Xenopus tropicalis: one gene and its partners. The protein of the gene in region 4 purifies or fractionates together with the protein of the main gene of each other region. This does not show direct contact. Links are inferred from orthologs where the notes say so. Each region holds a gene or a part of one and is shown on either strand. Other genes may lie near its edges. The genes, in order: nudc, llgl1, pld2 and dnaja2.

Region 1 (5,386 bases), on a different chromosome or scaffold from region 4:
TTTCCTGAATTTGGTTTGAGCTTTCCTTTATCTTTCTCATCATCTTCTTCCTCCTCCTCCTTTTCTTCCTCTCCATCCTACAGAATACAAAAACCAGCAATCACAGCCTATTATTCTCCTCCTTCACTATTGCTGAGACATCACTTTACATTGATCATATTTTTCCAAGAGCACATCAGTGTTTCTCCTAACAGTTATTTGTTGTTGTTTATAACCTTACCTTCTCAGGCTCTGGTTTCTCCTCTGTCTCTCTAGTTGCCTTCTCTTTCTCTTTGTTCTGCAAATCAAAAAAAAAATGTTTAAAAATATTTGCACTGCTGGAAATATAATAAGTGATGGCTTCTCATTTTCTAGTGTTTAACCTTATCAATTTCTTTTTGTAGTCTCTCTGCTTCCTCATCAGTGAGCTCTGTGATTCTGGACTCTCCAGCTTCCGTTTCTTTTTTCTTGGCTTCCCGTTCTTGCCTCACAGCCTCTCTCTCCAGACGATCAGCATCCTTCTGTTTCTGAGCTGCTAAAGCTAGTTTATTGTGGTGGTTGAAGGCCTGGGTGATGAGCTGTAGAAAAAAAAAAATAATTTGTACATTCACACAGTATATCTCTGCATTAAAGGGAAAGAAACATGTAAGTAGAGAAAAAACAAATTTTGGAAACCCTTTGCTGAAACTGACCACTTGGTCAGTTGGGTTTATCCATTCAACTGTCCCACAGTGACAACAATCAAATTAAAAGCCCAATGCTGTCCTTGGATTTTCTAGTCTGCCCAATAGACAACAGGCCGGCCATGGTTATGGCCCATACATAGACCAACAGGCTTTCAGCTCAATTTGGAGTAGGCAACTCGCATCAGCCTGTTTATCAACAGCTTTTCTCACAACATTATTGTGTTGCTGAGAATCTGCTGCCACATTTATCAACAAACCATAATGTAGGTTTGCCCCCTGTGGAGAAACTGTTCTAACAAACTGATTATAACAGAAATTAGAAAAAAAAAAAAAAAAAGAATACATAGAAAAACATTCTCCAGGGAACAACTAACTAGTCACATCGTATATCAAACAAATGACAATGTATCAAACTTGAGTATCTGGAAAAAAATTATAGGTCAACAAGGAGTATACATGTAATCATAGATGTGGAGGCCAGATAAGAAACCTAATGAAGAACAGACTGAACTAGTTAACATGCTGTGTATTGATGAGTTAGCCAACATACTGTATATTGAAAGAGCATATTAGCTGGCTTCATCTGTTTTTGTAACCTTGCTTTCAACACGAATATAATGCATTTCTGCAAAAATTTGGTGAACAACTGTTCAGCTCTTTCTCACCTTTTCAGCTGCAGCATTTTCTCCTCCAACAAAGAAGTCAGTCTTGCGCCTCAGAAAACTGAAGAATGTGTTTACCAACTTTAGAGGGAGAGAAAAAAAACAAAGAAATTAGATCTGCAATAAAGGAAGATGATTTGAAAATCTAAAGGTCCCCATACACGGTAAGATCCGCTCGCTTGGCGAGATCGCCAAGCGAGCGGATCTTCCCCCGATATCCCCACGGGTGGGCGATATTGGGGAGCTTGAAGTTAAAAAAAAATAATAATAATAATTATGTAGGCGGCAATGGGGCAGTCGGTTCGGGGACCGCATCAACGAGCCGATGCGGTCCCCGATCTGACTGGATTTTCTAACCCGGCCGGTCGATATCTGCCCAATTTCAGGCCAGATATCGGTCGGCCAGCCCGCTCGTTTCTGCCCCTACACAGGCAGATAAGCTGCAGAGTCTGTCCAAGGGACCGATATCGGCAGCTTCTATCGGCCTGTGTATGGGGGCCTTAACTTGCGTGCCATTGAATATATGAGTTTGCACACCATACTCAGCCATGAACTATATACAGCATACAAAAATACCCAGATGTTGGTGAAACACAACATGAACAACAAATAACAGGGCCTATGTCAGGGATATCCTGTATCTTTCTAAAGTTGCTACATTCCTTCTAAAGCGAAAGATTTACACTAAAAAAGCAGCCTCTATTATGTTTAACAGCCAAATATCTTGTTTATTAAAAGGGAAATTTGTTTTTTCTAATGCAGAGAGAACAATAGCGATCTCTGCACTAGCGATGTAGCACCCCATTGACCCTCTCAGACACCAAGGAGGTAAGTGCAGAGCGTGTTAGTGGCAGGAGCAGAATCAGCAACTGCGCTGCACATCAAAGGAGATTATTTTCTGTAAATGGGCCAAGGAAGAGGCTGGAAAACCTGGTAGAATCTCATTGCAATGGTCAGCAGTTCTATTGTAGGAGCAAAAAAAAAGTGGGAAAGTGCAGGGATTGGCATGGCAGAGAAGGAGCGATTGGAGAGGTGTATTAGCCTGGCAGCAGTATTCATTATGGACTGGAGTGGGGACAGTCTTTGGAGGGGAAGGCCAATTAACAGGGAGTTACAGTAGTCCAGGCGAGATATTATAAGAGAGTGAATAAGAATTTTGGCAGCATCTTGGGTGATAAATGATCGTATTTTGGAAATATTTCTTAGGTGAAAGTGACATGATTTGGTAAGTGATTGGATATGAGGAGTGAAGGAGAGGGCAGAATCAAGGATAACCCCAAGGCACCGGGCCTGGGAAGATGGGGTGATGGTAGAATTGTTAACCGTTACAGATACCTCGGGAACAATGTGGGCGTTGGATGGGGGAAAGAGAACCAATTCAGTCTTAGAGAGGTTTAATTTAAGGTAATGTTTGGACATCCAAGCGGACAGGCAGGAAGAGACGCGAGTTAGAAGCTCTGGGTTGAGATCAGGAGAGGAAAGAGAGGTGGTACTGAAAGCCACAAGAATTGATTAATTTGCCAAGTGAGGAGGTATAGAGAGAAAATAGTAAGGGGCCCAGGACAGAGCCTTGGGGAACCCCGACAGAAAGAGGCAAGGGAGAAGATGATTCCCCATTGTAAGAGACACTGAAGGATCGATCTGAGAGATAAGATGAAAACCAGGATAAGGCTGTGTCACGAAGGCCAAGAGAGCGGAGAGTCTGGAGGAGAAGAGGGTGATCCACAGTGTCAAAAGCAGCAGAGAGATCGAGAAGTATTAGTAGCGAGTAGTGTTCTTTGGCTTTAGCCGATAGGAGGTAATTTGTTCGTTGGGTTAGAGCAGTTTCGGTGGAGTGTTGTTATCTAAAACCAGATTGTAGGGGATCCAGGAGGTTATTGTCAGAGAGGAATAGCGTCAGTCGGTTGTAGACTAGGCGCTCAAGCAGTTTGGAGATGAATGGGAGCAGAGAGATAGGTCGGAGGTTAGTAGGATTGAAGGGATCAAGGGAGGGTTTTTTCAGAATAGGGGTTACAAGTGCATGTTTCAGTTGGGAGGGAAAGATTCCAGTAAAGAGTGAGAGATTGAATAGATGAGTTAAGGCTTTGATAAGACAGGGGTTGGCATTACGTAGAAGTTTGGTAGGAATGGGATCAAGCAGGCAGGTAGTAAGGTCAGAGGAAGACAACAGTTTTGAGACTTCCTCTTCAGTGAGTAAGATCAAATCCAATTTCTGGTATATTTCCCTAAGGAACAGCAATATTTAAGCCCTACAACATGAAGGGTGTGCAGGAAAGCTACATTTAAAAGAAAAAAAACGCACGCAATAGTTATGCCTTGGCCAACTTTTGCAGCATTTAAAGCGACTTGAACATATTTTGACTTCTGTAACAACTGTGATTTTGAAAAATATAAATTAAAACACAGGGATTACCATTGCCTTAAATAATTTCTCACCTCTTGCACTCCTCCTTCATGTTGCTGGGCCATAGCCAACAACATTGCATCAAATCGTTCATCCTCTCCGGAGGCCGCCATGCTGCTCAGTTCGCCAGATGCTGCACTGCTACCGGGTCTTACGCTAACCCCGCCCCTTCCAGGAGCTTATAACCAATCAGCGAAAAGAAATCTACACTGCTAGAGTTGCTATAGCAACATTAATCAAGCTACACGATGGTTCTGGAATATATGGCGTTTTAGAGATAGGGCACCAGTCGAGCATGCGCAACAAACAACATGTACCGAATACCAGAGTTGGGACACGTTTTATAATTTATTGTAATATGTTACTTTTTGCCGATTATATACTAAGTCCATTGTAGTTTTTAACCACTCCACGTGGTGACGTGCCGGTAAACTAGGTGTAGTTTTCCTCTTCTAAGATGGCGGGGCGTTATGGACTGTAATTTCCTGTAGCAAGATGGTGGAAAGTAAAGACCGGAACTACCCCACTGCCAAGATGACGGATCCAAGTGGTGCTTCAGTTGTTTTTGTTGTGTATGGAATTCCTCGTTCGTTCCGCTCTGCCCAGCTTCGCCACTATTTCAGTCAGTTCACAGAGAGCGATGGCTTTGTGTGTTTTCATTTCAGGCACCGACCAGAGCGGCGGGGAGAGAATTCGGGTACTTGCTGTTGTCCGGTTACCGTCAAACCGGAGCGATCCCGCAGTTTCCTGGAAATGTACAATATGAAACCGTGGCTGGATAAGGAAGGAAATCAAGTCCCTGGTAGATGCTTGGTTCGGAAAGTTCGTGTTGGTCCGATGGAAGGTACAAATAAACAAGTTAGGGTACCCCCGTGATTGATTTAGGGGCCTGAGCAACTGGGTGATATTGAACGATTGGAAATGTCTGTTTTCATACCATTGTGTTGACTTTTGCTTTCACTCGCTCTCAAGTCAACCATTATCACTGTAATAACATACAGTACTTTTGTGAAACATTGTCATATTTCCACAAGGAGACTTGTCTTTTTTTTTCCCAGACTTGACTAAAATTCACTCACTATTTTCTGGCACAAATGAATGTGTTTCATTGTTAATTCTGCCCCCTAGAGTATATTTTGTGGTGGGTGTAGGACTGTGTACCCTCTTTAAGTTTTACTATCTTCCATATGTGTCATTTCTTGGTGATTTTTCGATTTTTTAAATGTTGTCATTGGCATTACAGTTTTTGAATCTGCCCATGCAGAAGCTATTTTAAATGTAGACTGGCAGCTTTGCCATGGGATGAACCAGTCGTCTCTGTTCTGGCAGCGCTCCTGCAGAACACATCACACATGAGTGAAAGGTTGTCAGATTTTTTTTTTCAGTTCAAGACTCCTTGGAGGTATAACCTTTGGTCAGGGCCCTGCTCATAAAAATGTTTTAGATAAATTAAAATATCAGTGCATCAGGCATTCAGCCACTGTTCCAGGCATATTTAGATAGCAAGTAAGTTTTATTTATCCATATCTCACCCTAAGGGCAGTGACATACGGGGAGATTAGTCGCCCCGCAACAAATCTTCGTTACCGTGGGCGACTAATCTCTAAAGGTGGCCATACACGTAGCAATTTCAATGATCGCACGAAAGTTCTTTC
Region 2 (5,677 bases), on a different chromosome or scaffold from region 4:
TCTAGAAAGTTTATCTGTTATCTCCTATGTAACCTGTGCCTTTTTTTCCTTTTTTCCCCAGCTTCAATGGCTGCCCCCGTGGCTACACAGCAGCTGTGTTTATATAAACTATAGTAGGGTTCCTGTAGCAAACAGACCAGTTTTACCAGTGCAGAGCAGCTGTACATTATATTTTAATTACTTTTAAACACTTTCATTCTTGGCGTTAAGGTGTCCATACACGTGAAGATCCGCTCGCTTGGTGAGGTCGCCAAGCAAGCAGATCTTCACCCGATATTCCCACCTATGGGTGGGTGATACCGGGGAACATGTAGGCTAATTCGATCAAATTATAATGGCGGCAATGGGGCAGTCGGTTAGTCGGATTCAACTAAATCTTTTAACCTGCCCGATCGATATCTGCCCGATTTCAGGGCCGATTACGGTCGGGCATGCTCCTCCACGGGCCGATAAACTGCCGAATAGATCCAAAGGGAGCGATATCAGCAGCTACAATCGGCCAACTTTACTGTCCCTTTAAAATAATCTACTGTACTGTGCAGAAGATGCAAAGTCGTCCCCCCCCCCATACAGCCTGAAAGAGGGGGCAAATAAAAGCACCATACTGACCCAACTATAGCAATGGGTTATACAGGATAAGAGGGGGACAATAGGAGCCAGCCCAGTGAATAACAACACAGCAGGGGGGGTATCCATTCATGGAAGAGGGCACTGTGCAAGTCACTATTAGTAGAGGGTAATATGTGACGCATTAGTGCAAGCACACAATGCCTTTTGTTTTTCCCCAGTGAGTACAAAACACAACAGTGAATGAAGTTAGCATTAACCCCTATGGGGCTGCGGAAGCATTTGCAGCTCCATGAGACTCCTCCCCCCAATCAACCCTGCACGTATTTCACAACAACAACAAAAAAGTTTGTATTAACCCATAAATAAACTTGTCTGTAAATCAGCTGGTGCTTGCTACATTGTTTCAACAGTGGAGACCAGCAGTGCAGATACAGCTTTCAACTCCAATTATGTTCAAGCCCTTTTGGGGGCCACATAAGAGGCCCCTGAAATTACAATTGTTACCCATCACTGCTCTAAGTTTGGGTTGTATCAGGCTTACATATTAAGGTGGTTGGGGGTACGACACTAGGTATGAGGTATCTGGGGGTAACAAGGTGGAAAGAGCCCTAATGAGCATGGCCCTCACTGCCCCCATTATTAGTTGTTATACAAAGGTTATCTGTTTCATGTATCCACCCCGTCGGAATTAGTTGGTGCCTTGTGTAAATACTAGTTACACAATATCATCACAGACAGTTACTTATCAGTACTAACTGGATCTCCTGCACATACTTCAGCAATAGCGGAGGGGTCTCTTTTCCATTCCACTGCTAAAGGAGGGGGGAGTCACACACACAACATGGGGCTGATACAGAAGAGAGGAGCGCCTCGTACACATCAGAATCCGGCACTAAAGGGGGGGCCCTAACATAACAGCAGCCAATGCACATCTGATTGGGGTGTCACCATAGAAGGATTGGGAAAGTACAAACGCTCACAGTATTGGGGAGCTGCTCACAAGCAATTCCTGTACATGACTGGATTTTAGTTCTCAGCAACCAGCATGTAACACCCCCAGGAATTGGTAAGGGGGTGCCATACAGAGTAATAACTTCAGTAATTAGGGGCGCATAGGCTTCATACAGAGAGTAATATCCCCAGTAATTAGGGGCGCATAGGCTTCATACAGAGAGTAATATCCCCAGTAATTAGGGGCACATAGGCTTCATACAGAGAGTAATATCCCCAGTAATTAGGGGCGCATAGGCTTCATACAGAGAGTAATATCCCCAGTAATTAGGGGCGCATAGGCTTCATACAGAGAGTAATATCTCCAGTAATTAGGGGCACATAGGCTTCATACAGAGTAATATCCACAGTAATTAGGGGCACATAGGCTTCATACAGAGTAATATCCCCAGTAATTAGGGGCACATAGGCTAAATACAGAGAGTAATATCCCCAGTAATTAGGGGCACATAGGCTTCATACAGAGAGTAATATCCACAGTAATTGGGGAGGGGGTGCCATACACAAAGTAAAGTAATAACTCCAGTAATTAGGGGGTGCACAGGCTACAGACAGAGTAATATCCCCAGTAATTGGGAAGGGGGTGCCATACACAGAATAATATCCCCAATAATTAGGGGGTGCATAGGCAACATACAGAGAGTAATATCCCCAGTAATTAGGGGGTGCATAGGCAACATACAGAGTAATATTCCCAGTAACTGAAGATGGGGGTGCCATATAGAGTAATAACTCCAGTAATTAGGGGGTGTATAGGGGACATACAGAGTAATAACACCAGTAATTAGGGGGTGTATAGGGGACATACAGAGAGTAATACCTACAGTAATTAGGGGGTGTATAGGGGACATACAGAGAGTAATACCTACAGTAATTAGGGGGTGTATAGGGGACATACAGAGTAATAACACCAGTAATTAGGGGGTGTATAGGGGACATACAGAGTAATAACACCAGTAATTAGGGGGTGTATAGGGTACATACAGAGTAATAACACCAGTAATTAGGGGGTGTATAGGGGTACATACAGAGTAATAACACCAGTAATTAGGGGGTGTATAGGCTACATACAGAGTAATACCTACAGTAATTAGGGGGTGTATAGGGGACATACAGAGTAATACCTACAGTAATTAGGGGGTGTATAGGGGACATACAGAGTAATACCTACAGTAATTAGGGGGTGTATAGGGTACATACAGAGTAATACCTACAGTAATTAGGGGGTGTATAGGGGACATACAGAGTAATACCTACAGTAATTAGGGGGTGTATAGGGGACATACAGAGAGTAATACCTACAGTAATTAGGGGGTGTATAGGGGACATACAGAGTAATAACACCAGTAATTAGGGGGTGTATAGGGGACATACAGAGTAATACCTACAGTAATTAGGGGGTGTATAGGGTACATACAGAGTAATACCTACAGTAATTAGGGGGTGTATAGGGGTACATACAGAGTAATACCTACAGTAATTAGGGGGTGTATAGGGGACATACAGAGTAATACCTACAGTAATTAGGGGGTGTATAGGGTACATACAGAGTAATACCTACAGTAATTAGGGGGTGTATAGGGGACATACAGAGAGTAATATCCCCAGTAAATGGGGAGGGGGTTCCATACACAGAGGGGAAAACGGGGTCCCATAGACCTAGGGGAAGGGAGATACCATGAAGTACTACACGGGGGGGGGTTAATAATTGAGCCCCATACAGAGCCAGTGCAGCACAAAGCACACAGCCGCACTAGGGCTCCCCGCACAACAACACCCACCTTGTTGAAGGCAAACAGTTCCTGCTTTATCTTCTCCCTCTGCGGGTCATGGCCCTGCCGCCTGAACCTAAACTTCATCATGTTGCCGGCGGCCCGGAGCTGACGCAGCCGCTGCCCGTACAGCAGCAGCCTCCCCTCTCTGCAGCCACAGTTAGCGCACACACACACAGGCGGCTGGGGAACTTGATCCAGCCCGCCGCTTGATTGGCGTTCTTATCGACCAATCACAGAACTCTCCAGGGAGCGTCGCTTTGCCCCTTTTCTTTAAGAGCATCAGTACAGGCATCGCGCCTGCGCGGAATGGAGCAGGGGAGGCTGGGAGTTGTAGTTCTTTGTGGGAAAATTCTTACGTTTGTAGTTTTCTTTCAACTTTTTTAACTTTTGGATAATCAAGGCTGGATTTTGTGAATTTATCCGAATATCTTTTATTTACACTGTGCAATTGGTTCCTTTGCTTAGCTAGGCTTTCTTATCCCAATCGGTTTCTGTGAAAGCTCAGATTTATGAGGTGAATGATGTTAACAATGGGTTTCAGAAAGGACCATTGCGTCTCTGTACTCTGTTATAGAGGGCTTGAACCTCTACCATAAAGTGTGGAAGAAATGCTGCTTTGTTAAATACAGGAAGGTTTCCTTGTACAAGCACAATAGTTACCATATCTGTACCCCCTACTGTAAATGATAAGGATATTAGCAGTCACTGAGGGGTTCTGTGCCCATATAAAGGCACAAGGCTGCAGGCTGAGTTATACAGGGAACTCTGAGTATCACTCATGTATTATAAGGGATAATGTACCCCCTACTGTAAATGATAAGGATATTAGCAGTCACTGAGGGGTTCTGTGCCCATATAAAGGCACAAGGCTGCAGGCTGAGTTATACAGGGAACTCTGAGTATCACCCATGTATTATAAGGGATAAAGTACCCCCTACTGTAAATGATAAGGATATTAGCAGTCACTGAGGGGTTCTGTGCCCATATAAAGGCACAAGGCTGCAGGCTGAGTTATACAGGGAACTCTGAGTATCACTCATGTATTATAAGGGATAATGTACCCCCTACTGTAAATGATAAGGATATTAGCAGTCACTGAGGGGTTCTGTGCCCATATAAAGGCACAAGGCTGCAGGCTGAGTTATACAGGGAACTCCGAGTATCACTCATGTATTATAAGGGATAATGTACCCCCTACTGTAAATGATAAGGATATTAGCAGTCACTGAGGGGTTCTGTGCCCATATAAAGGCACAAGGCTGCAGGCTGAGTTATACAGGGAACTCTGAGTATCACTCATGTATTATATGGGATAATGTACCCCCTACTGTAAATGATAAGGATATTAGCAGTCACTGAGGGGTTCTGTGCCCATATAAAGGCACAAGGCTGCAGGCTGAGTTATACAGGGAACTCTGAGTATCACTCATGTATTATAAGGGATAATGTACCCCCTACTGTAAATGATAAGGATATTAGCAGTCACTGAGGGGTTCTGTGCCCATATAAAGGCACAAGGCTGCAGGCTGAGTTATACAGGGAACTCTGAGTATCACTCATATATTATAAGGGATAATGTACCCCCTACTGTAAATGATAAGGATATTAGCAGTCACTGAGGGGTTCTGTGCCCATATAAAGGCACAAGGCTGCAGGCTGAGTTATACAGGGAACTCTGAGTATCACTCATGTATTATAAGGGATAATGTACCCCCTACTGTAAATGATAAGGATATTAGAAGCTATTCTCCTAATGGGAGACAATTTTGTGGGATATTTGGGGAGTACCTGCAATCAGACTCCCTGCCCTGTTACTCAGCAGCGACCGTTAGACATTACATATTCCCCAGTGCCAGGTCACGATGGGAGACAGACAATAGTCTGGGCACTCAGATGACTTATGGTGGGAGCGGATTCCAGAAAAACAAGTATAACAAAGACAGAACTGATGGCTGAGAGGAGAGCGCAGAGTATCTGAGAGATAACTGACAAATAAATCACCTTGTCTCTGTAACTCATATTTTTAAGTTTCGTGCTCACAGACAGTTTAACTTGTGATTGGGGCCCAGTGTGGGGCCAACAGGGCCATAGGTTGGATAATGTATATACACTGGAGGTACCGAGGCCAAGTATATGGGCAGGGGGGAGCCAGGGACATAGTTATGAGGCAAATGAACACACCTGCCCTATAAACTGTCAGTACTGGAGCTGGCCCGGCACGCAGGTAAGTGACAATGAGCAGGGCAGGCTCTGGGCAGGTTAGTAATCTACTCTCTATTCCTCTTGGACTCTCTGGGGCTGCAAACTGGGGAGAATACCTG
Region 3 (4,852 bases), on a different chromosome or scaffold from region 4:
GTATTGAAATGTATTTCTGATTGGCTTTATATGAACCAGTTGGTCCGTGATGCCTAGTATATAGGTAATTGTTGATAGAATGTGAAGGAACCCCATTGGATGAGTTTGAGTTGTTATCTAGTAGGATTAGGAAATCATGAGAGTTTTTGGTGGCTTCCTCTCAGCCATTTTATGGATTTAGTTGAGCCATTGGTCTTTTGCTATGTTGATTGGTTTTACAGTATATAGTCTGAAGACCAAATTTGGTGTATTAGGAGTATTTAAGATTGAATGGTATTCGATTTCTGGATTTAGGGTGAATAACTGGGCTTTAAAGGCATATATATGGTGGTAGTGGGGTGGGGGTTGTTGGTGAGTATTGCGTATTTGGGTTCAAGATTGTAGCAGATATAGGTATTTGAAAATTTGATGGGGCAAGAAAATGGAGGATGAATATGAGTCTAAGTGTGGCTTGCTATGCACTATAGGGCATTAATAGAGCAAAGTTTTGGTAAATCCACAAGTTAATGATATGGGACATTGGATAAGCTCTCAACTGATTCCATCCTCAGGGCACGATGAAGTACGTTTTAATTGTAGGGATTTGGGTGGAAGCAGGATTATATATATAGTACAATTGTGATGCCAAGTAATGATTATGGAGACTTGGAAATGCTAAACCTCCATTTTATATGATGCTGTTAATATTCTCCAAGCCTTCAGGGATATCAGGATACTTTTTTAAGTGCAGTGCCATATGTCAGACCTTTAATGTGTCTTATTTGTGTGGCTAATGGGTATAATGCGCTGGCAAAGGGTACAGGGACAGAGGGTAACCCTGTCTTATTCCTCTGGTAAGGGAAAACGGAGAAGTAGTTCCGTTCACTAGGTCTTCCTAGAGGTGACTCCATTCCAACGAATTAGAGAATTGAGAGCACATTTCTAGAGCTTTTTTTTTCTGAGGAACAAGTGTAGGTTGATGAATAGTCTGCAAAGATGTTTGATGAGCAGCCAGACATAAATCCAGATTGGTCAGGGTGAATTATATCTTGCACCAATTGCTGCAGTCTACTGGCTAGAATTTGAGAGATGATAGCGACTTATTAACGGTATGGAGACAGATGTTGGTAACAACAGAGTATCCTGTGTTTGCTGGAGGGTTTCGGAGAGATATGTTTGGTTAGGGCAGGGATCCCCAACCTTTTGTACTTGTGAGCCACACTCAGATGTAAAAAGTGTGGGTGAGAGCCACGCAAGCATGAAAAAAAGTTATTTTGAAAAGTCAAATAAGGGCTGTGATTGGCTATTGGGTAGCCCCATGTGGGCTGCTGGCCTGCAAGAGGCTCTGCTTGGAGGAAAACTGAGTCTCTGGGCTTCCAAAATTTGCCCCCAAGCTAGAAATTTTAAAATGGGCACCTACTTTGGGAGCAACATCAAAGGGGGTGGTGAGCAATATGTTGCCCCAGAGCCACTGGTTGGGGATCACTGGGTTAGGGTCTTATACCAGTGTGAGGGTAGGCAATAAGAGCCAGGTGTTTTGTTCGATAGTAAGGAACCAGTGGTGGTGACAATCTCTTCTTTTGAAATTTGGCAATACAAAAATGATAATATAACTGGAACTGGTATGGTGTCTAAAAAGTGGTTTAGTTGTGAGTCGACGTGTGTAGCTATAGATGTGTAATGTATACAATAGAATTTGTCAGGTTCTTGGGCTGTTGGATGGCAACCTTGCAGTTGCTATAGCTGTAGAGGTTGTGTCTTGGCTAAGAAGGCTTGAAGTTGCGTTGAGTTTCATAACATTGAGCATTCTTGGTTTGGGTGGTCTCCTCTCTTATTCTTATTACGAGATTGAGGCAATTTAAAGGAAAACTATACCCCCAGAATGAATACGTAACCAACAGAGAGTTTATATTATGTTAAGTGGCCTATTAAAGAATCTCCCCAAACTGGAATATATATATCAGTAAATATTGCCCTTTAGCATCTTTTCCCTTGAGCCGCCATTTTGCGATGAGCTGTGTGCTCCCTCAGAGTTATTCCATTGGCCTATAAGGATCCCGTTATGCAAGCTGTGGGCCAGTAAAATGATAAGATAAAGACAAGCTCCTCTTCTGGAACTGCCTAATTTCCTTTTGTGGCTTTTCCTCAACTAGATGTTCCGGTGCCTCCCCGCCGACGCCGTGACCAGTAACCGTACCCTGCAGGAGTACACTGCCGTAAAGAACCTGGCAGCGCTAAACCCTGGCCTAGCTCGGGAGCAACTAACTGGCATTAGGGGCCACCTGGTGGAATGCCCCCTACAGTTCCTGTCTGGGGAGAATCTCCTTCCCCCTCTAAGCAGCAAGGAGGGCCTGATATCCTCTCAGGTTTGGACGTGAGCCCTGGGCACGGCACCTTGGACTAATGCACTTTGTTCTTTAGACTCACCTTAGGGTGCTGGACTAGTAACAAGAGCAGCACCCATGTTACTCGCTAAACTGCACAGAGTATTGCACTAGCCTTTACAGCTCTCAGATACTCCACTGATTGCCACCATGTCCGTTACTGTCTGCCACTAATCCCTGATACACACCCTGTATTAATCCCAGTCCCACACACACAGTATCCTGTATTAATCCCAGTTTTACTCACACAATATCCTTTGCTAATTACAGTGCAACATGCAAACTATTCTGCACTAATTCCAGCTCTACATATGCAGTATCCTGTCCTAATCCCAGTCCTACTCACAGTATCCTGTCCCAATCCCAGTCCTACTCACAGTATCCTGTCCTAATCCCAGTCCTACTTAAAGTATCCGGTCCTAATCCCAGTCCTACTCACAGTATCCTGTCCTAATCCCAGTCCTACTTACAGTATCCTGTCCTAATCCCAGTCCTACTCACAGTATCCTGTCATAATCCCAGTCCCATACACCATATCCTGTCCTAATCCCAGTCCTACTCACGGTATCTTGTGCTACTCCCAGTCCTACTCACAGTATCTTGTGCTACTCCCAGTCCTACACACAGTATCTTGTGCTACTCCCAGTCCTACATACAGTATCCTGTGCTACTCCCAGTCCTTTTCACAGTATCCTGTCCCAATCCCAGTCCTACTCACAGTATCTTGTGCTACTCCCAGCCCTACACACAGTACCCTGTGCTACTGCCAGCCCTACACACAGTATCCTGTGCTACTCCCAGCCCTACACACAGTATCCTGTGCTACTCCCAGCCCTACACACAGTATCCTGTGCTACTCCCAGCCCTACACACAGTATCCTGTGCTACTCCCAGCCCTACACACAGTATCCTGTGCTACTCCCAGTCCTACACAGTATCTGTTCCTAATCCCAGTCCTACGCACACTATCCTGTATTATTCCCGGCTCTACACACTCCATATAACGTACTAACCCCAGCTCTACTAATATTAACTCTACATAGACTGTATCCTGTACTAATACCAGTTGTAGATATGCACAATTCAACCATTTTAAGATTTAGCCGAATACTGAATTCAACACACAAGCAAAATCACATAATCGTTTAAGAAGTCATGTGATCACTAGGGTTGAATTTGGTTCAACCAGGGCCTCGGATTCGTCCAAAGCATTGTGTGCTGTTCTGCACCCACAACGTACGTGGCACATCCTGTACTCGTTGATAGGCGCTATACACTAATACTGTTCTATTGCAGAACCATGCGCGTAGCATTGTCCGCTCGTTTCAGCGCTGCATGATCATTTTATTTATGGACTATGCAAGTATATAGAGTTCATTTTGTCTTCCATGGTAGGGGCTCCGGCTGCTACTGCACGGGGTTTGCACCACTCTCTCCGGGGGGAAAACAAAACAAACAGGGGAACCTTTGTAGTCAATAAACTTTGTACTTCTTTTTATGTCGTTGTTTTCCTTTTTTTTCTAAATTCAAAAAAATCGAATTTTAACATTTTTCCAAATGAGAAAAAAACTCTAATATCCCAAATGTGCGCAAATCTCGATCACTAAAAAAACAACTCGAACGGAATTTTGAAAAGACGTCTCCCATTGGCTTTTACATGAACTCACCAGCTTTTAGACTGCGATTTTTTTTTATTTAGGTTTTTGCTCCTAAGAAATCTTGAATATTCAGTTTTTCGGAAATTCGAATTCACAATTTTAAAAAGTAAAAATTGCAGTAAAAAGTCAGATTTGAATGTTTTTACTGTATATCTGCCCATAGAAGCTAGGAACCAACTTTTTAGGGTTTGGCCGAACCCACTCGATGGATTTGGGCGAATCCCGAACCGAATTCTAATTAATATACGGTAATTAGGATCGGAAGGGGTTACGCGCGTTGAAATTTTTTTTCACCTGACCATTTAACCCTTTCCTGATGCTAATTAGCATATGCAAATTTATGCTAATTCAGATTCAATTCGGCCGAAACTGAATCTTTAAAAAAAGCCTGGATTTGGCCGAATAAGGATAAATTCAACTTTCAGAATTTATTATTTTGTTCTAAAAAACATGCAGAACTACCAAACAAAACAACCTTAAATGAGAGAATTTATATCAAAATGCTACTGTTTTCGAAATGATTCGATACCCTTCTCCAACCAATGGCAATTTAGTCCATCATTTTTGAGTACTGGATACTCTACAAAAGATTTGCTGAGTACCGAACCTACACAACATAAAGTATAAATGGGGACATCCATTATAGCTTATAATCTACAGCAGGGGTGGCCAGACTTTTTCGTGCGACGATCGACTTTGGCTCCTCCCCGCGTATGTACACATACCCAATAAAAGCGTCGCACTTCCACATTTGCAGGCTTAGACGTGGTCCACCAGAGGTCCATGGGGGATCGACTGATGGACCGCGATTGACGGTTTGGCCACCCCTGA
Region 4 (5,547 bases):
AATTTTTTGGTGGTTAAAATCATGATTAGAAAAAATAGTAAAGGTCCCCATACACAAGCAGATCCGCTCGCTTGGCGATGTTGCCAAAAAAACAATACCAGACGATAAGGTGCTTCAAAACTAAAACTGAATAAAGCACACATTTACCACTGGAAACCATGCTTATGTCTATTAATATAGGTCTATAGCACCTACTAAATTTTGAATTTCACTTTCCCTGAGCCAACATTGTTTGCATTCTGAGTATCACATGCTGTCGAGGTTGCATTCCAAAAGTCATGAAATTTGCGGATCCGAACGTTCGTAAACGGCGCAAAAACCTTTCTGGCGTTTTAAACCTTCAGTGTATGATTTTTGACTCAAAGGCACTCGACAGATCCAACCTGGCCAAAATATAGTCACGATAACAAATCTTGAATGAATTCCGAAATGGTCGTAGTCTTTGTGAAAAATACAACTTTTCGTGGAAGTTAACGAAAACCACGAAAAAGTTGTGGAATTTAAACTTAATTATTGTGGGCATTACAAAAGTTCTATAACTTAGAAAAATTATGATTTTTTTCTCCAAAAAAAAAATTGTTGTTTAATGAATGGGCCCCTTGGTTTTAACAGCTCCTTTAAAGGGGAAGGAAAGGCTAAGTCACTTGGGGGTGCTAAAATGTTAAGCACCCCCAAGTGACTTGAATCGCTTACCTCGTACCCAGGGCTGGTGCCCCTGTTAGGAGAAAACCGCACCAGCCCGGGGCACCTGGGGCAATGCGCTTCCTCCTTCGTTTCGCTGCGACTCTGAGTCCGGCGCATGCGCAGTAGAGTGAAAAAGCCGACTTCTCTGTTAAAGTTCGGCTTTTCACTCTACTGCGCATGCGTGCTCAGCAAAGAAGGAAGGAGGAAGCGATCGCTGCTACCCCGGGCTGGTGCTGTTCTCTCCATACAGGGGCAGCAGCCCAGGGTAGAAGGTAAGTGATACAAGTCACTTGGGGGTGCCTAACATTTTGGCACCCCCAAGCGACTTAGCTTTTCCTTCTCGTTTAAGGGCGAAAAAGCTATTTAGTAGCAGCTACTTGTCATGGCTACAAAACGCCAGAAAATAACCTGCCATAGACAATACTGAGAATTGCCCCTGCTAAAACCTACGTAAAGACAATTATCAGTAAATTATTAGCATTGTCTATTTTTGTAGCAGTGGCAAGTAGCTCTGTGTGTCTTCATCCTAAAGTTTTTTGGAATCAGGAAGTACTGAGGGAAACTGGCTTCATAGTCTTATTTATCTTTGTGGTTAGTAAGTGAGAAGCTACAAACTGGTGAGCACTTTATGTGCAATACTGCACTACTAGCGAGATGCCACTAAGCAACACCTTTGGGTGGTTCGCAATCAGATGGCCCCGGGCAGGACAGGAGTTACAACATACAGATCATGCTTGATTTCAGAAAAGGTAGCAACCGTAGCTAAGGGTAAGTTCTAAGGTTGGCATACTGTGCTGTTTCTGTGATGCCCCTAGCAACATGAGTGGCTCACAGATCTTCCTGGATGTTAGGCAACTCTGGGGCAAAAACAACCCTTCAGCTCCATTACAATTACAGGCTGCTGCTACTAATAAAGGCAATAAACTGCACCACTGGTGTTAATGTGACCCCCTAGCAACCAACTGATCATTAGCTTTATATCAATTTGGTGCAAGTAAAGGTTAATGACTAATTACTGATTGGGTGCTGTAGCAGGTATGTGGTACACTGGTAAAATGGTAATAGCAAAACAATTTAAATACAACACAATGCTATATAATTTACACTCACGCCCAACCGCTAATTTAGGTTTAAGGGTGTAGACACTAAAAAATAATTTCTGGACATGTCTATAAAAAAATCTTACATAAAAAGTCCAATTAGGGACCGCCCCTGTACGTGACGTAGCAATGGAAAGATTGAGAATATTTTTATTTATATATTGGCAGTGGTTTTAGAACCACCACCGTAAAGTTATAAGGAACCAACTCCTGCTAACATTCACAGCCTTCACACTACCAGCCTGGGCTAAAGTACAAAAAATAAGAGAAAATTGCAACTAGTAAAAATTAACGTTACCATAGCAACACATTTATTGCGAGGCCTTTAGTCTTTCAGTTGCGCTTATTACGCTTTATACTGATACTGTAGCTGCCTTATACTATTCTGCGGCGTTACAAAGAAGCCTAATGTAAGTGGCAAGACCTACTTCCTAAGAAAGCTTTATCACTTCTCAGGTATGTTTCTAATACGCCATAGGTAAAGGGGCGGGTTAGTGACGACACGAGGCGGGGTCACGTGTGAGTGACGCTGCCGCACAGCGTTTCCGGTCTCTCTTTTTCAGTTCTTGTCCCCCACGGAGGGCTCTCAGCTTCTTCCGTCACCTCGTTATCTGTAGGCCCTCCGCCGCCGTTTTCTTCCAGCACCCCGCCATGTCCAACGTCGCGGACACAAAGCTGTACGACATCCTTGGGGTGGCCCCCGGTGCCAGCGAGAACGACTTAAAGAAGGTATGTGCGTGTGGCTGCTTGAAGAGCACACCGGCATTTTGAGGCCCTAGCGCTTTTGTGGAATAAACCCACAGAGGTGAGGGGTGGGAGGCAGGGGGAATTGGGATTGAAGAGATGGGGGTCAACGCAGTGTTGAAAAGGAGACCCCGTACTCGGCCCCTCCCCCATATTGTTATTTCTTAGCGGAGTCTTGTTACATGCAGGGCCAAGGCTGTATGTGATTAGCCTGTTGTAAATTGTAACCCGGACGCATTATCTGGCAGGAAGATAACATCCCCCATAATCAGTAGGGCAGCAGTGTCAAAAACGCACCTCTAAGATGAAATTTATCTAGGGATTTGGGAATTGCAGTTCAAGGACAACTGGGTGCCTAGACTTGCCGCCACCCTTAACTGTTTAACCATAATAGTATCCATCATCATCATCATCAAGCAGGTTCCATCTTGAAAACAGTTGCAGATTTTCTTGTTTTCTTTCTTGGATGTCCAGATTTCAGTGCAAAGATGTAGGCTCTTTTTATCTTTAGCAATGAATATCCCTCTCACTTTCTTAAGAATTCTACTCAAGGCATTGGACTGAAGTTATTATATGATAAAAAAAAATGAACTTTGCTAGATATTCATAACAGCCTTCTTGGGGCAGATATACCTGGGTTCCTCATAGTTTCAAAAAAACCACATTGGTTTTGGGTAGTACAGGTATGGGATCCCTTATCCGGAAACCCGATATCCAGAAAGCTCCGAATTAGGGAAAGCCTGTCTCCCATAGACTCCATTTTAATCAAATAATTCTGATTTTTAAAATTGATTTCCTTTTTCTCTGTAAAAATAAAACGGTGCTTTGTATTTGATCTCAACTAAGATATAATTACTCCTTACTGTATGTAAAATAATCATATTGGGTTTAATTAATGTTTTATTGATTTCTTAGTAGACTTAAGGTATGGAGATCCAAATTACGTAAAGACCCCTTATCCGGAATACCCTTGGTCCCGAGCATTCTGGATAATGGGTCCCATACCTGTAGTTTGGAAATCAGTGTTTGCCCACTGAGAGATGTCATAAACAAGTTACAGATCTGTTAGATCATGGTTATATTATATTACATTCTTTGTGGTAAATAATGTGTTAATTTAATTGCCATAGCACTGTTTTTACAGCAGTAAAGTTGGCCATACACTGGCAGATTTAAGATGCAAATTTGGGTCGTTCAGACCAATTCAGCAGTTCTGCCTTTGTGCCCACCCCCGACAGGCCTACCCAACCCAATATCTGGCCTAAAATTGGTCAGGTATTGAAAGGGCAGACATGATTTTCCCATCGGATCAGGGACCACATTGGCTCATTGATGCAATCCTCGATCCAACAGGTTCACTTCCCCTCGTTGTAATTCAATGGCCTTTAGATTACTCAATATCCCCCGCTTTAGGTAGGCATATAGGGGTTGTCCACCTTTACATTTTTTAGTATGTGGAACAGAGTGCAATTCTGAAACAATTTGCAATTAGTCTTCATTTTTTTTATACTATTTTTGTATTTTTAATTATGTAGTTTCATATTCAGCAGTGCCCAATTTTGGAATTTTAGCAACTATATGGTTGCTAGGGTCCAAATTACCCTTGCAGCCAGGCAGTGATTTGAATGAGAAACTGGAATATGAATAGGAGTGGGTCTGAATATGAAGATAAGCAATAAATAATTGTAAATTGTAGCCTCACAGCGCAATCGTTTATTGGCTTTTAGGGTCAGTGACCCCCTTTGTTAAAGAGTCAGAAAAGGAAAGCAAATAATACAAAAAGATAAAAAATGAGAACCAGTTTAAAAGTTACTAAGAACTGCCCATTCTATAACATACTAACCCCCATATGTAATTAAAGGCACTAAGCTTGCATATGTGCACTAACCCATAGCAACCAATAGGATGTTTGTTTTTAAACAGTTGACCAGTTAACGCTACCTGCCAATTGGTCGCAATGGGTTACTGCACCTGGGCCAACTTAGTGCCTTTTAACCCCATAAAAGTTAACTTAGAGTTTGCTTTTTGCCCCCCCAACTGTGGGACAACTAATGTATGAGTAATTATGAACCTAAGACCTCAAAGGCATTATTTGATCATAAGCAAATGTTGTTAATATTCTGGTAACTGTCAAATTTAACCTGGTTACATCCTTTAGTTATTTGTTGCATTTTTCTCCCATCTCCAAAAACTTGATCCCGTGGAACCGTGGCTCTTTTCTTTCTCCTTTTCTAATACTCTCAGATTAATGCTACCTGAAACTTGACTGTTATATATTCTGATATCCACTGTATAAAAATCAAAATTCAAATAAAAATTATTGAAAAGAAAAGTTAACTTAAAGTTAAACCACCCCTTTAAAGGGGTTGATAACAAGTTTAATGAATAAGGATTGTGCTGGGCATATGAAAAATTATTATTTATATAGCACCGTCAATTCGTGCAGCGCTTTACAGAATGAGGTACATAAGACAAAGCAGTTAACATTTACTTATAGAAAATTCACAAAAAATGGTTTACAGCAGAGATCCCCAACCTTTTATACCCGTAGTCCCCAATCTTTTATACCCGTGAACCACATTTAAATGGAATAAGTGTTGGAGAGCAACACAAGCATGGAAAATGTTCCTAGGTGTGCCAATAAGAACTATAATTGCCTACTCAATAGCCCCTATGTGGGCTGGCAGCCTATAGAAGGCTCTGTTTGGCATTATACTTGGTTTTTATGCAACCAAAACATGCCTCCAACCCAGGAATTCAAAATTAAGCACCTGTTTTGTGGCCCCTGGGAGCAACATCCAAGGGGTTGGGGGGGCAACATGTTTCTCACGAACCACTGGTTTACATTTGGATAAGGATTGGAGGCTACAGGGGGAGGGCCCTGCTCACAAGTAAAAGAAAATTGCATTAGCTGTGCATGGGTAATCCCTCCTGTATAATGAACTCATGCTTATATGTTAACCATAACTGTTACACCAAAGGGCTAAATAGGGTTTGTGCTCTTGTAATTAAATGATCT

The links.
Region 1: the proteins of dnaja2 (region 4) and nudc purify together in Homo sapiens (affinity purification with mass spectrometry; 4 studies listed by BioGRID and IntAct, with this or other methods). This does not show direct contact. The link is inferred for Xenopus tropicalis from reciprocal best matches to the Homo sapiens genes DNAJA2 and NUDC.
Region 2: the proteins of dnaja2 (region 4) and llgl1 purify together in Homo sapiens (co-immunoprecipitation; 3 studies listed by BioGRID and IntAct, with this or other methods). This does not show direct contact. The link is inferred for Xenopus tropicalis from reciprocal best matches to the Homo sapiens genes DNAJA2 and LLGL1.
Region 3: the proteins of dnaja2 (region 4) and pld2 purify together in Homo sapiens (affinity purification with mass spectrometry; 3 studies listed by BioGRID and IntAct, with this or other methods). This does not show direct contact. The link is inferred for Xenopus tropicalis from reciprocal best matches to the Homo sapiens genes DNAJA2 and PLD2.

The regions. Positions count from the first base shown.
Region 1 is NC_030678.2:77,784,904-77,790,289, reverse strand, and holds the start of nudc (nuclear migration protein nudC), read right to left. Parts: upstream 3,857-5,386; 5' UTR 3,845-3,856; coding exon 3,764-3,844; intron 1,409-3,763; coding exon 1,331-1,408; intron 558-1,330; coding exon 363-557; intron 278-362; coding exon 221-277; intron 78-220; coding exon 1-77. Other genes in the region: gpatch3 (G patch domain-containing protein 3), read left to right, coding at 4,266-4,575. UniProt on the Homo sapiens protein: Plays a role in neurogenesis and neuronal migration. Necessary for correct formation of mitotic spindles and chromosome separation during mitosis. Necessary for cytokinesis and cell proliferation.
Region 2 is NC_030685.2:16,024,638-16,030,314, forward strand, and holds the start of llgl1 (lethal(2) giant larvae protein homolog 1), read right to left. Parts: upstream 3,589-5,677; 5' UTR 3,444-3,588; coding exon 3,363-3,443; intron 1-3,362. UniProt on the Homo sapiens protein: Cortical cytoskeleton protein found in a complex involved in maintaining cell polarity and epithelial integrity. Involved in the regulation of mitotic spindle orientation, proliferation, differentiation and tissue organization of neuroepithelial cells.
Region 3 is NC_030679.2:148,025,870-148,030,721, reverse strand, and holds the end of pld2 (phospholipase D2), read left to right. Parts: intron 1-2,132; coding exon 2,133-2,357; 3' UTR 2,358-3,861; downstream 3,862-4,852.
Region 4 is NC_030680.2:73,214,661-73,220,207, reverse strand, and holds the start of dnaja2 (dnaJ homolog subfamily A member 2), read left to right. Parts: upstream 1-2,369; 5' UTR 2,370-2,435; coding exon 2,436-2,513; intron 2,514-5,547. UniProt on the Homo sapiens protein: Co-chaperone of Hsc70. Stimulates ATP hydrolysis and the folding of unfolded proteins mediated by HSPA1A/B (in vitro).